Saccharomyces cerevisiae S288C: one gene and its partners. The protein of the gene in region 2 binds, or shares a complex with, the protein of the main gene of each other region. Each region holds a gene or a part of one and is shown on either strand. Other genes may lie near its edges. A codon is read from its position in the direction of its gene.

Region 1 (2,746 bases), 140 kb from region 2:
TAGAAAGTAATATCTATTAATCAACAACAGAAATGAAATACTTAGCTGCTTACTTATTATTGGTTCAAGGTGGTAACGCTGCCCCATCCGCCGCTGACATCAAGGCCGTCGTCGAATCTGTCGGTGCTGAAGTCGATGAAGCCAGAATCAACGAATTGTTGTCCTCTTTGGAAGGTAAGGGCTCTTTGGAAGAAATCATCGCTGAAGGTCAAAAGAAGTTCGCTACTGTTCCAACTGGTGGTGCTTCTTCTGCTGCTGCCGGTGCTGCCGGTGCTGCTGCCGGTGGTGATGCTGCTGAAGAAGAAAAGGAAGAAGAAGCTAAGGAAGAATCTGATGATGACATGGGTTTTGGTTTATTCGATTAAGGAATTTAATTAATAAACAATTTTCTTGTTTTCCTTCATTTTACAAAATCTGGTGTAAATCCTCGATTCCATTGTGATTTAAAAATAATTAATTACTGTATAAGATTCTATATAGACAATTAATTGAAAATAGTATTACTTCTTTAACTCGCTTAGGATTTTTTTTATTTTTTCTCTCTTTTCCGGAGAATTGCCAAATGTTTTCACGGCCTCTTCCAATAATAGCTTCATTTCTTCCAACGCAACTACTAGTTTCCCATTGTAAGTGGCGAAGTACTCGCTGATATCATCATCTTCAGAAGCTTCTTTAATGGAAGTTGTTAAAGAATTTATAGAATTTGTTTGGCTCAGAATATCTGATAATTTACTTTCGCCTATTTGGAGAGCCTGACATTTCAGTATTAAATCTTTCCTTAAATTACTATACTCGCTTAGAACTTTGAGATCATTTTCCACTTCAACTTCCTCTTCGTCTGCTACTTCCATCTGCGGCAGCTTCAACACATCTTCAATTAATCTCTCTATCGATGTACTCTGAGGTTCACCCTCAACTCTATTTCTTAGTTCACTTCCAAGAGAGTACTTTGGTATGTCTCCAACAAGTTCCATTATCTGCTGCGATTGACTGGCTCTCAATTCAGACTCGTTATCGTATATCTCTTTGCTCAGTAAGTCTTGTTTTCCCCTGCTCATGGCATCCTTTCTCTTTTCAATTACTTGAGCCTTTAGTAATCTGCACACTTCATTTGGTAATTCGCCTGCTAGGTCATCCATGAGGTAGTCATCACTCGACAGCAGTGCGGTCAATTCATTTTCTATAAAATTGGATATGCTATTATATGTGTCTGTCATCTTATTCCTACAATCTATTGTTGCTTTAGTTTCTGTGCACATTTACCAAAAATATTTCTTCGCATGTAGATTTACCTCTTTTCCCCTGTGACGCGTCATCGTTTTTATATCACCTTTGAACAAAGCAATATATCTGTACTCAAAAGGTACAAACGAAAGTTTTGTTCACGAGAAAGAGATATTTTACATGCGAATTAAATCTTGATTGCCTGAATTCTTCACTATTTTATGATTTTTCCCTTCCTTCTTGAAATTTGATTTATATTTAGTCCAAATATTACAGAAAAAAAAAAAAAAGATGCCTAAGCCTTGGGTCTTATTTCGAACAAATCCATCCATCGGTAACAATTCAAAAAAAGAATATTTCGTCTCGAACAATTTGCTAAGTATTGTGGGTAAATGATATATAAATTTTTATAAAAACTCTTGGCCAAGAAAAAAAAAAAAGACTATGTCTAAACGTAACGTTATCATTATTATTAAATCATTTTAATGTTTTATAAGTTTTGTTTTTCATTTCATACCCTTTAAGGAGCATTTGGCATTGTGTGCGCCCTGAAGGCTAAATAAGAATTTGAAGGACTCACCACAGAACAGTATAGCGAATACCAACCGCAGCAACTACTTAAAATTCCAAAATAGCCACCGGCCATTTTGAGATTGTTGTTGTCAATGAAGGTGCCGATACACAGTAGTAGGAAGGTAAGATCCAAAAACGTCAATAGTAAGAACAAACCCCACGTGCTCTTCAATGTACACATCAACATCAAGAAGGTGAAAACGGTCCAGCCCGCAAGGAAGAACCCAATGACATTGTTCAACATTGTGGGATCGGTATAGCCGCTGACCAAATTATCAGTATCTGTTAGCCCATAACCGTAGCAGATCCAGAACCCGCCGAAAGAACTGAACACAGTCATGGCGTATGTGTCCCCAATGACAAAACACAATAACCCGGCAAACAATTCAATGGCACCACCAAAAAACATAAACAAACTTAGCGCCCATTTACCATCAGTGACGCCGCGAACGTTCGCATTAATTAGCGACAGAACTAGACATGACAGAGAAAACGATGCGAGACCCAAAGGAACCGGATTAGCGAACTGGTGCGGAGTATACTTTGCACAGTTTCCTTCCTCCCCATCCCCTCTGTCTAGTGCATTGAGCAAATCTCTGCGCCTGTAGGTGGAGGATCCTAGAGTAATGAAGTCTCTGTCGGAGTATATCTCTTGAATATTAGGGAAGCCCTGCGAAACGCCTGCAATCGAACCCTGCTGGGGGAGCGTCTCAATATTTTCTAGAGTGTTCACACCCTTTTCCAAATCCTGTGGAGAAGAAGCAGACGATGTCATTTTAACCAGTATTTTTATTTTTTATTCTTACTAAATCTTTCTGGGAATGTATTCAGTTATATGTGACCCAACTGTTTATAAAACTGGGGGAATATTAGGCAATCAAGCGAAGCTCATCGATGAGTATTCAATTTGCTAAAAAGTTGTTTTATTTAAATATTCCTTCTGAGTCAC
Region 2 (8,052 bases):
ATGTTGCAAGGACGGATAAAAGCCCCAATGATAGTCTGCATTCAATTTCAGCTCCTCCGCTGATACCGTCACCGAAGGTAGATTTTTCTGCACCTCCTTTGGTCCCAACTAATAGCACCACTAAATCTAATACTGCCAACAACACACCTCCCTCGGCTCTTGCCAATACCGATGACGACTTCAATCAACTATTTGGTATGGGCACAGTAACTACAACGGATACGATCCAAAAACCGGATGAGGATTACTATGGAAGCAAGGAAGACCACCTTTACAATGGTGATGACGCCTTAGTTGATGAAGTTAAGGATATGGAAATAGCAAGATTGATGTCTCTAGGTTTATCAATTGAAGAAGCCACTGAGTTTTACGAAAATGACGTAACTTATGAAAGATATTTGGAGATTTTAAAGTCAAAGCAAAAGGAGCGCAACGATCTAGCTATAAGAAAGAAAGAAAGTGGTATAAAAATGGAAAAGTCAGGATTATCCAACATTGTTGGTACAGATAGCAATAATTTATTCAGCATGGCCACTGATTTTTTCAATAAGGGTAAGAAACTGGTAGACCAATGGACCTCCTTCCCACCTGAGGCAAATGATAGACTGAATAATTACTCAAAAACTCATGATAAGGTTGAGGATTATGATTTGCCTCAAGTAAACGACTCACCCAATAGAATTTTGTTTGAAGATAATGAAGTCGTAGAGAACTTACCACCTGCCGATAATCCGGATCAAGATCTTTTAACTGATTTCGAAACAAAGATTGATATAACAAAGAGGACAGCGCCTGATGTCTCCCACTCCTCCTCACCGACTTCTGGTATACTAATTGAAGAAAATTCGCGAAGAAATGAGCCCCTGATAGAGGATAGTCTTCTCGACTTTTCAGAAGGAAATCTCACCAATAGTAAAAGCAATGAAGATAGCACCCTCTTCAATGAAAACAGCAACACTGACTCTACAATACCCATCTCAGATATTGAATTATCGGGGTATAACGAATTTAAGGCGAAAGGTACTAGTTTGTTCAAGAACGGGGATTATATTAACTCATTACAAGAATATGAAAAGTCTTTAAATACATTGCCTTTAAATCATCCATTGAGGATCATTGCATTATCAAACATTATTGCCTCGCAACTGAAAATCGGTGAGTACTCTAAGTCCATAGAAAACTCCAGCATGGCTTTGGAATTATTCCCATCAAGCAAAGCTAAGTGGAAGAATAAAATCTCAAATAGTGACCCTGAAAGATCATTTAACGACATCTGGCCAAAGATTATGATTAGGCGTGCTGAGTCTTTTGAACATTTAGAAAGTTTCAAAAAAGCACTAGAAACATACCAAGAGCTGATTAAGAAGAATTTTTTTGATGATAAAATCATGCAGGGAAAAAGAAGATGCCAAGACTTTATTAATCCTCCCCCTGTTAAAAAATCCATGCCCGTTAAGAAGAAGACAACGACAACCTCGCCTGCAACAAAAAAACAGAACTTAACCGCTTCTTCTTCAAATTCTCCAATTTCTGTTGATAGCACTTCAGAAATAAAAAAACGGGAGCTAGAAAACGCTAAACTGGCGCTATATGATAAAGTATTTGAGAAAATTAGCTCCTGGAAGGATGGCAAAGACGATGACATTCGTCATCTGTTAGCAAATTTATCCAGCTTACTAACATGGTGCAATTGGAAGGATGTCTCTATGCAAGATTTGGTTATGCCTAAGAGGGTCAAAATTACATACATGAAAGCTGTAGCCAAGACACATCCTGATAAGATACCAGAGTCCTTGTCCCTGGAAAATAAGATGATTGCAGAGAATATTTTCAGTACTTTAAGTATTGCTTGGGATAAGTTCAAACTGCAGAATGACATTAACTGATTTCCCTTGTGTGCCTGCTTCGCTCAGTTGTTTTTGATATGTACTTTATACAAATATATATAGGAAAACAAATTCTTCAAAGCGCGTTAGGAAAAAGTATGGAAAGGCTTAGTTTCATTTATTGACTTACAAGTGGCACCCAATTTGATTAATATGAAAAACAATCTGCAAAAAAAAAAAAAAAATTCAAAATATCACAATGTTAAAACACAATAGAAATAGGGCATTGTATTAAAACCACTGAACGACTAAAAATTGAAAAAGATTATGATACGTCAGCTCAATTATTGGTCAAGGAAGGCGTATCTCATTTACCCCTTTCAAGTTTTTGTAGGCGCATTATTATCAATAGTAGTATCTTCAGAAACATTAAACCATCAAAAAGAGACATGCGCTCTATTGAAATCGTCCAATATTTTCAATGTTATTTTTGCATACAAAGCGAACCAACTGTGGCCATTTTTATTCTTTAGTTTGGCTTTTCTGCAAATATACTTCCACTATCTAGCAAGAATGGATATATTGCCTTTACCAATATCAAGTACCGAAACTAGCTCTTCCTATTTAACATATACTAACCATTGGCCTCTGCTCAAAAATAGAATAATCAGTATTATGATCACTCAATATGCTTGCAAGTTCGTTCTAAAATATCTATTATTGTTTTTGAATTTCCAATTTATCGATCATGTTTTCATTTGGACAGGGGGAGAATGCAGTTCTGGTAGTAAAACGACATCAGCTGAAAAGTGCCGTCTAGAAAATGGGAAATGGGATGGTGGGTTTGACATTAGTGGACACTTCTGCTTTCTTGTGAGTATAAGCATGATTCTTTGGATGGAACTTCACTTATTCAGTAGATTTGTTCAAGCTGAAGATATGTTTTGGGTTGTGAATAAGTGGGTACGAGCTTGCCTTGCCATTGTTTGCGCTGTCCTAGTAATTTGGATATGTATTCTCTGGGTTACCGCTATTTATTATCATACTATCTTGGAAAAAGTGTTAGGTTGCCTTATGGGTTTCATATGCCCTGTTTTCATATACCACATTCTACCCAAAATTGGGATACTACACAATTACTTATATCTATGATAAACAGAGAAAATTAGCTCTATCCTCTTTCTATAAAGTATATTTTTGTTAACATTCACTTGAATATTGTCGCGAAAGAATGGTTTAATTTTAATTCCAAATCATCCAAAGAACCGAGCAATGCAATTTCCCATTTACTTTTATTATTTTGACTAAAATCATGAATATCGTCCAATATTGAACATGAAACTATTTCATTTTGTTTTACAAACAACTCGACTTTAATATCCTTCACAAAAAACGAAACCATTGAAGATTCTAAATCTAAATCTAAGTCGTGGATTATCTTCTTAGCTTCTAAGTCCTTAAAAATCTGTCGTCTTTTCTGTACTTCCACAAGTTGCAGGAAGACTCTTTTAGCAAATAAATAGGCGTCATCATGAGATATCACTAGTCCCCCATTGGTGTCATCAAATATACCTTGGACATCAATGAAACTCGGGATTGTATGCTTGAACAGGAACCAACTATTCGATTTGATCCTCTTTTTCAACAATACATAGTGAGGTTTTTCAAATTGGGATGTCCGTTCGCTGAAGACTTCCAGTCGTATTCCCAGCATTTCTCTATCAACAAATATTTCACCGCTAGCATCTTTTATCTTAAGGTCAATAGGGTCCACAAGAGGGAAAAATGTTATACCAAACATTCTATAAACATTTTCCAGGACAATATAATCTTCCAACTCACTTCTATCACTTGTACTAATATCGTCTATTTTTAGTTTTCGCTTTCTTTTTGAAGGTGACGTTAGAATGTCTGTATCCAATAAATCTGCCACCCCAGGATCAAACATTTGATGCTGAACCATTGGCTGGGTCTTTAAAACCCATTCTTGTTCTGGTAAAATTTCCTCATTCTCCAGCTTAGCTCTTTTCTTTGGTTCATACGGTATTGGCGTTGCTGGTATATCCGCTTGCGCCCTTGATATGTCCTTGTCATCTGTCTCTTCCAATTCTGGATGCTCATTAAATAAAAAATTATTCAACTGTGGGAATTGATCGAATAGATCTTCAAATTCTTGTACTATAGGATTAGCGCTCTCCTCATTTTTTCTTTTATCTTTTATCTTCGCTTTGAGCTTCTCACGACTTTCTTCTAATGAATTGACTGTGAAGATTCTACTATGTTAGTGTTCAACTTAATCATTTTTTTAAAAGAAAGAAAATTGTTACAGCCTCAAAATCACATACTTTCACTGAGTAAAGATTCAATGTCCTGCTGTAAATCATCGATTCTACTCATTGCCAGGAGCGTTACTGATAGTTTGAAAGAATTGCTCAAGTAAAGAAATCACATTTTCCCCTCATTATCCATATGGCTTTTGTTTGTTTTTTCTTCAGTTTTGAAATATGCGCGTTTTCTTACCATCATTATAAACTTAGGGAAGATCTATCATAGAATTGGTCGGCCATTACTGGCGATTAGTAAAACAATACATAAAGTTTGCATATTCAATGCGATAAAAATTTAAGACGGCCCAGGTATCGAATCCATGATATAGTGGTTCTTTTATGTATTAGGCTACTATTTATTTAATAACTTCGCATCTATCAAAAGAAAAGACTGACTGTTCACACAATCATATCAATTTGATAACTGCTAATTACTTCCAGCTTAGGTCCCGCCTCTTTACTTTTCCTTTCAATCGCCATCAAAGAGGCAACATAAGAAACCTTTGAAACTGGGACAGCGTATCCTAATAATGCAGATCCTGGCATCCTATATATACTGGAAGCAATTATTTCGCTTAACTTTGTTCTTAAGCCAATCCTTCTGGCCTCACTGATATATTTCTTTTTATAAACTAAAAGATAGTGAGGATAATAAAAAATTTTTTCCAAGAAAGTGGAGTTTTCTTTACCCAATTCAACGTTTATAGGATTTCCGTGCTGTCCACACATCGGACCTGGCCTCAAAATAACTAGCTCCTTTAGCTTATTTGGCAAAGCTTCATCCAAGTCATTTTCTAATTTAGCTTTTATTCTAAAATACTCGAAAGTTTTACTAAGAAAATCATTATTAAAGGCAGTTGTAACCACCAACCTTTTGTTAGTTGTATTCGTGAATTCTTGTGCTAAATTAAAAGGTAAGTAATAGTCAGCAAAGGAACTTGGTACCTGAGTTCTCCGCACTCTAGCTGAGGTGGAGCCCAAAGAGCACACCATAGTGCTAATATCACACAGACTAGGCAAACTTCTACCGGGAACGTAATTTTTGTTGTCAATGTCAAACTTTTCCAGCTTTTGTGTTCCTGAGAATATCCGTGGAAGCAATTTTGGCCAAGTTTCAGATCTGGGGATGATCAATTGCGTTACAGTAAAATTACAAATGATCTCAATACCTTTTTCCTTTCCGCATGCATAATGTAGTGTGTAACTGAACTGTTTCTGATTATAAACAAAAGAATAACCATCTTTTCCCCTCTCTTCAGGCGTATTTTTAATAAATCCTTCTTCAAAATTATCATAACAAAAAGTATTAGGACTAGACGGTACTTTTTCAGTGTCTTTTTCTTTCCTGCTTCTCAAGTAATATCTGCCACCTTGCCAAGTAACTGATCTCATATTTATATAATCAATGGTCTTCATAAATGATTTCTCCTCATTGATGCACCTTCTATTAACACAAAAGACATGTTTATTGAGAACGACATTTCCCTTTATTTCACTTAAGCTATCAAGCTTGCCTTGTAGGTCCGAAACATTTTTAATATATAAATTTATGTCCAACAGGTTCTCTAAAATACCTTTTCCTACTAAACTAGATGATCCAAACAATAAAACGTAATCTGTAAACGTGTTGACACTATAACTCATTTCTGATCAACCTTTCTAGTTTGGAATATTCTTCAAAGGGTCTATATGTATAAAAAGCTGTCATTTATATTAAAAAGAATTTATAGCGTTTACTGCGGATCAAAATTAAATACGTCAATTTTTCTTAAAATTTCTTTTAATCTAAATGACACAAAAAATGTCACCCATCATTATATGTATTGAAAACCAAAAAAAAAAAAGGAAAATTATACTTTCAATGAAAGACACAAAAATGAAGAAGTTCAAGGATATAAAAGTTAGTTTTTACCTGTTGAATTATATGCAGAGTTACTGTTAAATTACAACAACTTATCGTTTCTTGATGAGTATTCAAGGTGACGGAATATTATCATATATGATGTAATAAAATGACATAAATGATAAGAATGCGTTATCAAATTTAAAAGCAACTGAAACGCACGGATTGATGATAAAAAAGGATAACGATTGGTAACATTTAGACTAAAGAATAGATCGTAATATAGGAGATTTGAGAAATATGTGGGTAATTAGATAATTGTTGGGATTCCATTGTTGATAAAGGCTATAATATTAGGTATACAGAATATACTAGAAGTTCTCCTCGAGGATATAGGAATCCTCAAAATGGAATCTATATTTCTACATACTAATATTACGATTATTCCTCATTCCGTTTTATATGTTTATATTCATTGATCCTATTACATTATCAATCCTTGCGTTTCAGCTTCCTCTAACATCGATGACAGCTTCTCATAACTTATGTCATCATCTTAACACCGTATATGATAATATATTGATAATATAACTATTAGTTGATAGACGATAGTGGATTTTTATTCCAACATACCACCCATAATGTAATAGATCTAATGAATCCATTTGTTTGTTAATAGTTTGAATGTTTTTATCGGAAGAGGTTTGGTCATTACGTCTGCAATATTCTTTTTGGTTTCGATATAGCATACGTGCAGATGATTTCCTGATACTTCATCTCTTAGTCTCATTGCTTTAGTACCAAAAAATCTGTTTCTAAATTTCTCTTCATTATTGGATATAATTATACTGATTGTAGATTTACTGTCGGTTAGTAATCCTTTAGTAATTGGTTTCTTGTTAAGTTCTTGCACAAGGTGACTGAGGTTATTTAATAATGGGACAGATTCACTTATCGCGTGTATTTCTGCTTCCGTAGTTGAAGTACATGTTAATGAAGCCTTGGTGGACTTTCCTCCAATTACCTTTCCATTAAGTAAATATATGTTGCCAATTTGTGACTTGTAATATGGTTGGTTACCATATGAAGCATCACTTATTGCGACTAGTTTATTATCTGGCTCGGTAGGTTTGTTTTTGTGCCATATCAGTTGTTTATCTCTAGTGTCCCACATGAATTGTATTAACTCATATGTCATGTCTAAAACTTGCCTAGAGGGGAATAGTATATGTTGAGCAAGTGTGTTGATGTAGTATAGTAAGTCAAATCTAAATTTATATCCAACATATGAAGCTAGACCAATCAACTTTTGCATTTCATGTACCTTCTCTTTGTATTCATCTTCATCTATTTCTAGTTCATCCTGGTCTATATAAAGACCTGGTTGACCTGGAGCGCTAAGTTTTCTTCCTTTTGGATTCAAAGGTACGTTTAATTTGGGTATTTTCTCAGTTAATGAGTTTTCCATACCTAATTTCATGTATTTACCTCTTTGATATTTGATTTCTAAGCCAAGTATGTCGTACTGAATTTCGTTATCACTTTCACCCAGATTTATTATCTTTGTATCGTATTGTTTCTTGAGTGTTGTTATGATTTTCTTATTTGCATTTAAGTCTTTGCTGAACAATATCATATCATCAACGAATAAGCAAATTGTTACTTGACTATTCTTAAATACGCATGACCATCCACGAACTTCTTCCATACCACACTGTTTTATCAGGTATGATTTGATAGTTTCGTACCAGTTCGCTCCACTTTGTTTCAATCCATAAAGTGATTTCTTCAAACGTATCAACTTATCATTCATTCCTAAATGTGGTGGAGGTCTTATGTATAATTCTTCTTTGATGTCTGCATACAAATATGCCGAAGATATGTCTAATTGTGTAATATAGTAGTTATTGTCTAATGCAAGTGACAGGGATGTCATTAATGCATAGTGATGTACGGTATTGGATTGCATGCCTGAGTCGTAAGTGTCAGGATGCTGAATATCACCTCTTGCAACAAATCTAGCTTTATGAGTACCGTCACGTTTCCTGTTGAAGAT
Region 3 (3,556 bases), on a different chromosome or scaffold from region 2:
GAGTTGGTGGAGCTATCTCTTTTCCTAAAGTTTCCCTTCATATTGTTTCAATGTAATGAACTCCTTTAATTACTTCCGTGACTGAGGATGTCAGTTTTTATATCAAATCAATTTTCAAAGATTTAATTATTGCTTCCCCTTCAAGATCAATTCGGAAATAATCGAAACGTCTTCTGGAAAGAACAAAAAGAAAGATAGAAGAAAACGCGAGTGAATGACCTATATCTTCCTTAAAGATCTATGCGATGAGAGATGCCGATTTAAGAACTGCTTTACAAAAACGCAAATCTCAAGTAAAGAAAGTGCCTCCCAATTGAGCTTTCCTTCCTTCTTTATTTTTTTTTTTTTCCAGTTTTTCATAATTTGTTGTGGCTCTCCAAGGTTTTCTGAGGCTCGTTGGCGGAGAAGTTACGTAACCCGGATGCTAATAGTGCATGATTATATATCAAATATTTAGTTATATGCATCGTAATCGTAAACTCTGAAACAATGGATTATCGCTAGTGTATATCTTCTTCGGTCTTATCTTGGTGCGACTCATGGTGCGGTACAAAAACCTCTTTGATTTCTTCTTCATGTGAATCCGAAATCATTTGACCCATTGTTTCCTTAAGTTCCTTTGATTTCTTCGTATATTCTTTCAAAGAAGGTAACAACGACAGTACTTCCTCCTTATCAAGCCTCACATCGGCTGTACTTTTTATGGGGTCGTTCAACATCAGGTTCAATTCGTGGCTATCATTTCTAAAAGTTACTGGGCCATCAGGATGCATAAATCCATTAGTAGATTCTAAGCCATATGTATATTCCATTGCTTTGTTAAGTACTGGATGCAGATCTTTTTGTATTAGCTTCTCAGTGAGTCGTTTCTTGTTGTTTGTTTTTAAATTCATGCACAACTTCCTAGTTTCCTCCAAAAGGTTTTGTTCACGTGAAAGAATTGCTTCCAATCTCTCATTATTTTGTAGTTCTTGTGAATACCGGTTTTGAATAAATTGTCGCTTAGAATAAATATACTCGATGTCTAGATCTCTTTCCGATATCCTAGAGGGAAATTTGGCCTGTCTTAGCTTCTTCTTTATCTTTGTGAGGATTATTTCAAGCAAACGTTCCTTCTTAGAATATATTCTTTTAACCTCATTATTATCGCCATGCGTCATTTGGTTCATTTCCTTTTCGTACTTCTCAAAGACAGAATCAAGAGCGCTTACAGTGTTAGTCTCTAATAAACGAAGTATGGATCCTATCATTATTTTAGAAGGCTTTTTCCAATGCTTTAATTCATAATTGCGCGGCAACCTTTCTCTATACTCAGCTTGTATTACCTTCCTGAATTCCCAAGGTCGTACATTGCCCTCTCCACTTGTTGCGCTTCCATCCGATAGATGAGATTGCAATTTACCTGTACTTTCCTTGCCAACCTCAAATCGAAGTTGTTTAGATCCTTTATGATGGTATTGTCCTTCTTCTTTGTTCGTGCGCTCTTCTATTTCTCCTTCTTCAGCATCATCAGAGTTCTCATAAAAAAGCGACTTCTTTGATTGGGTGCTTTTAGCTTCTGGTGCTACGTCCAGACGTAAAGTTTTAATATCATTCACATTCATGAGAATGCTGCTATCGCTTTCAGAGGAACTTCGGTTGGGTGACAGATCCATGGCCTGGCCATTGTTAATTGAATCATTTTCAATATTTTGTAAAAAATTATCTCTATCAGCTGCCATACAGTATACGTAGCACTAGTATCGCTTGAATTATTCGTCCATAGGGTGCAAGTTACCTCATCCATTGTTGCTATGTACCTCTATCTGTATTAACTTCGAGGTAGTAAACAAATGGGTGGACCGTATTGTGACTCTCCGGGTAACAAAAATATGTTATTTAAATGAAATGACCGGGATGATGGTACTCTCTGAATCTTTCCCTTATCTACCTACAAGAAAATGGCAAATATTGTCATAATAAATATAAAAAAAAACTGTAGTTTCTTTTTAAATTTTTCTACTTAAGTTTAGTTATACTGTACCTAGGTATATATAAATATATATAAATAAAAGTGGCCAAGAATAAAAGAACGCACCCCGTCGTTGACTTAGAAGTCATCATCAAAGTTAATTTCCTTGGATGGGGTAGCGGACTTAGACATGTCACTGGCCTTTTGGTAGTCGGAAACCTTCTTTTCAAAGAAGGTGGTCTTACCAGCGGTAGCGACATCCTCCATGAATTCGAATGGGTTGACGGCGTTGTAGTATTTTTCGTTACCGAAACCTTGTAATAGACCGTCAGCGACAAATTCTATGTAGGTGTGAATGCTCTTCAAATCCATACCAAATTTTTCTACTGGCAAAGAGTTTGAGTAGTATTCCTTTTCAATTTCCACGGCTTCGGTAATGATTTTTTCAATGATCTTGGGGTTTGGCTTGGTTCTCAAATGGGCAAATAGCAAGCATGAAAAGTCAGTGTAGGCACCTCTGTCTCTACAGATGTTTCTGTTGGCCATTGCTAAACCTGGCATAATCTTTTTGTCAGTCAACCAGAACATAGAAGCATAGTTACCAGCTTGGAAAATACCTTCCTTTGCAGCAAATGCTACTAGTCTTTCAGCATACAAGCTGTCATCGTTGGAAATCCATCTCTCGATGAAAGCAGCCTTATGCTTGACTTCAGGCAAATTGGCAATTTCCTTGAATAGAGGGATGTTCTTAGGGTCCTTGAAGAAGGCATCAACCATCATGGAGTAAACTTCAGAGTAGATGTTTTCCATCATAATCTGGAACCCGTAGAAACTCTTACCTTCAGGGTTTTGCAATTGGGCAGAAAAGTTTTCGATCAAGTACTTGTTGACAAGGTTGTCAGAAGAAATGGACAAGGCTAACAAGTTACCGATGTAGGTCTTCTGGTCATCAGTCAATTTTTGGAAATCTTCAGTGTCCTTAGCCAATTCGATTTCTTCCGCAGTCCAGAAAGAGGCTTCAACCTTCTTGTAAGCAGCCCAGATTTCGTGGTATTTGATAGGGAACATCACGAATCTACGGCTGTTTTCCATCAAAAGGATTTCATCCTTTTCAGCTTCTTTCATATCATGACGTTCTTTTTGGAAAGTCTTCAAAAATTGGTTATGTGCTTCCATTGTAATAACTAATTGTGTGCGTTGCGCGGGGTTGTGTGGCTCAAAAAGATCTGTTTTTGTATTAGCAATTTTTTATTTCCCTTTTTAAATGAATTTTTTTTCTTTCTGTTTCGAGACAAGGCCTTTTGCAAAAAAAAAAAAAGTAAAAAAGTGAAATTTGATAGTGTAAGGGGACAGAGGTGGGGTCAGAAACCAATGTATCTATTGATAGTCTTTTTTTGATCGAAAAGCCAAGAGACAAAAAATGAAGAAAATGAGAGATAAGGAATGAAACTTTAGGAACATTGAAGATTCAATCGCCGTTTTTATACGCCAGAGCTTCATGAGACCAAGGAAGGAACGGACGTCGTCTACCGATTACAGTAAGCAAAGAGGATGGTGTTGCCACAACAACGCCCATCGGGAAGGCAAGAGACGCTGTGGTGAACA

What was found. The genes of interacting proteins can lie anywhere in the genome.
Region 1: the proteins of MCM21 (region 2) and NKP1 are in contact, whole or in part, in a cryo-EM structure (PDB 6NUW), measured with the Saccharomyces cerevisiae proteins. Residues at the interface, in NP_010604.4 of Saccharomyces cerevisiae: Glu316 (codon at 3,195), Val325 (codon at 3,168), Ser326 (codon at 3,165), Cys327 (codon at 3,162), Ser328 (codon at 3,159), Glu345 (codon at 3,108); in NP_010671.4 of Saccharomyces cerevisiae: Arg100 (codon at 920), Val101 (codon at 917), Glu102 (codon at 914), Gly103 (codon at 911), Glu104 (codon at 908), Pro105 (codon at 905).
Region 3: the proteins of MCM21 (region 2) and OKP1 are in contact, whole or in part, in a cryo-EM structure (PDB 8OVX), measured with the Saccharomyces cerevisiae proteins. Residues at the interface, in NP_010604.4 of Saccharomyces cerevisiae: Asp252 (codon at 3,387), Thr253 (codon at 3,384), Asn254 (codon at 3,381), Gly255 (codon at 3,378), Asp262 (codon at 3,357), Asp263 (codon at 3,354), Leu266 (codon at 3,345), Lys269 (codon at 3,336), Arg270 (codon at 3,333); in NP_011695.1 of Saccharomyces cerevisiae: Val323 (codon at 755), Arg326 (codon at 746), Asn327 (codon at 743), His330 (codon at 734), Glu331 (codon at 731), Asn333 (codon at 725).

What each region holds. Positions count from the first base shown.
Region 1 is NC_001136.10:1,239,460-1,242,205, forward strand, and holds NKP1 (Nkp1p), read right to left. Parts: upstream 1,218-2,746; coding exon 501-1,217; downstream 1-500. Other genes in the region: ribosomal protein P2 RPP2B, read left to right, coding at 33-365; putative ammonium permease ATO3, read right to left, coding at 1,745-2,572. UniProt on the Saccharomyces cerevisiae protein: Component of the kinetochore, a multiprotein complex that assembles on centromeric DNA and attaches chromosomes to spindle microtubules, mediating chromosome segregation and sister chromatid segregation during meiosis and mitosis.
Region 2 is NC_001136.10:1,099,929-1,107,980, reverse strand, and holds MCM21 (Mcm21p), read right to left. Parts: upstream 4,224-8,052; coding exon 4,172-4,223; intron 4,089-4,171; coding exon 3,034-4,088; downstream 1-3,033. Other genes in the region: auxilin-like protein SWA2, read left to right, coding at 1-1,886; YFT2 (Yft2p), read left to right, coding at 2,154-2,978; HIM1 (Him1p), read right to left, coding at 4,553-5,797. UniProt on the Saccharomyces cerevisiae protein: Component of the kinetochore, a multiprotein complex that assembles on centromeric DNA and attaches chromosomes to spindle microtubules, mediating chromosome segregation and sister chromatid segregation during meiosis and mitosis.
Region 3 is NC_001139.9:853,175-856,730, forward strand, and holds OKP1 (Okp1p), read right to left. Parts: upstream 1,722-3,556; coding exon 501-1,721; downstream 1-500. Other genes in the region: PBP1 (Pbp1p), read right to left, coding at 1-41; ribonucleotide-diphosphate reductase subunit RNR4, read right to left, coding at 2,090-3,127. UniProt on the Saccharomyces cerevisiae protein: Component of the kinetochore, a multiprotein complex that assembles on centromeric DNA and attaches chromosomes to spindle microtubules, mediating chromosome segregation and sister chromatid segregation during meiosis and mitosis.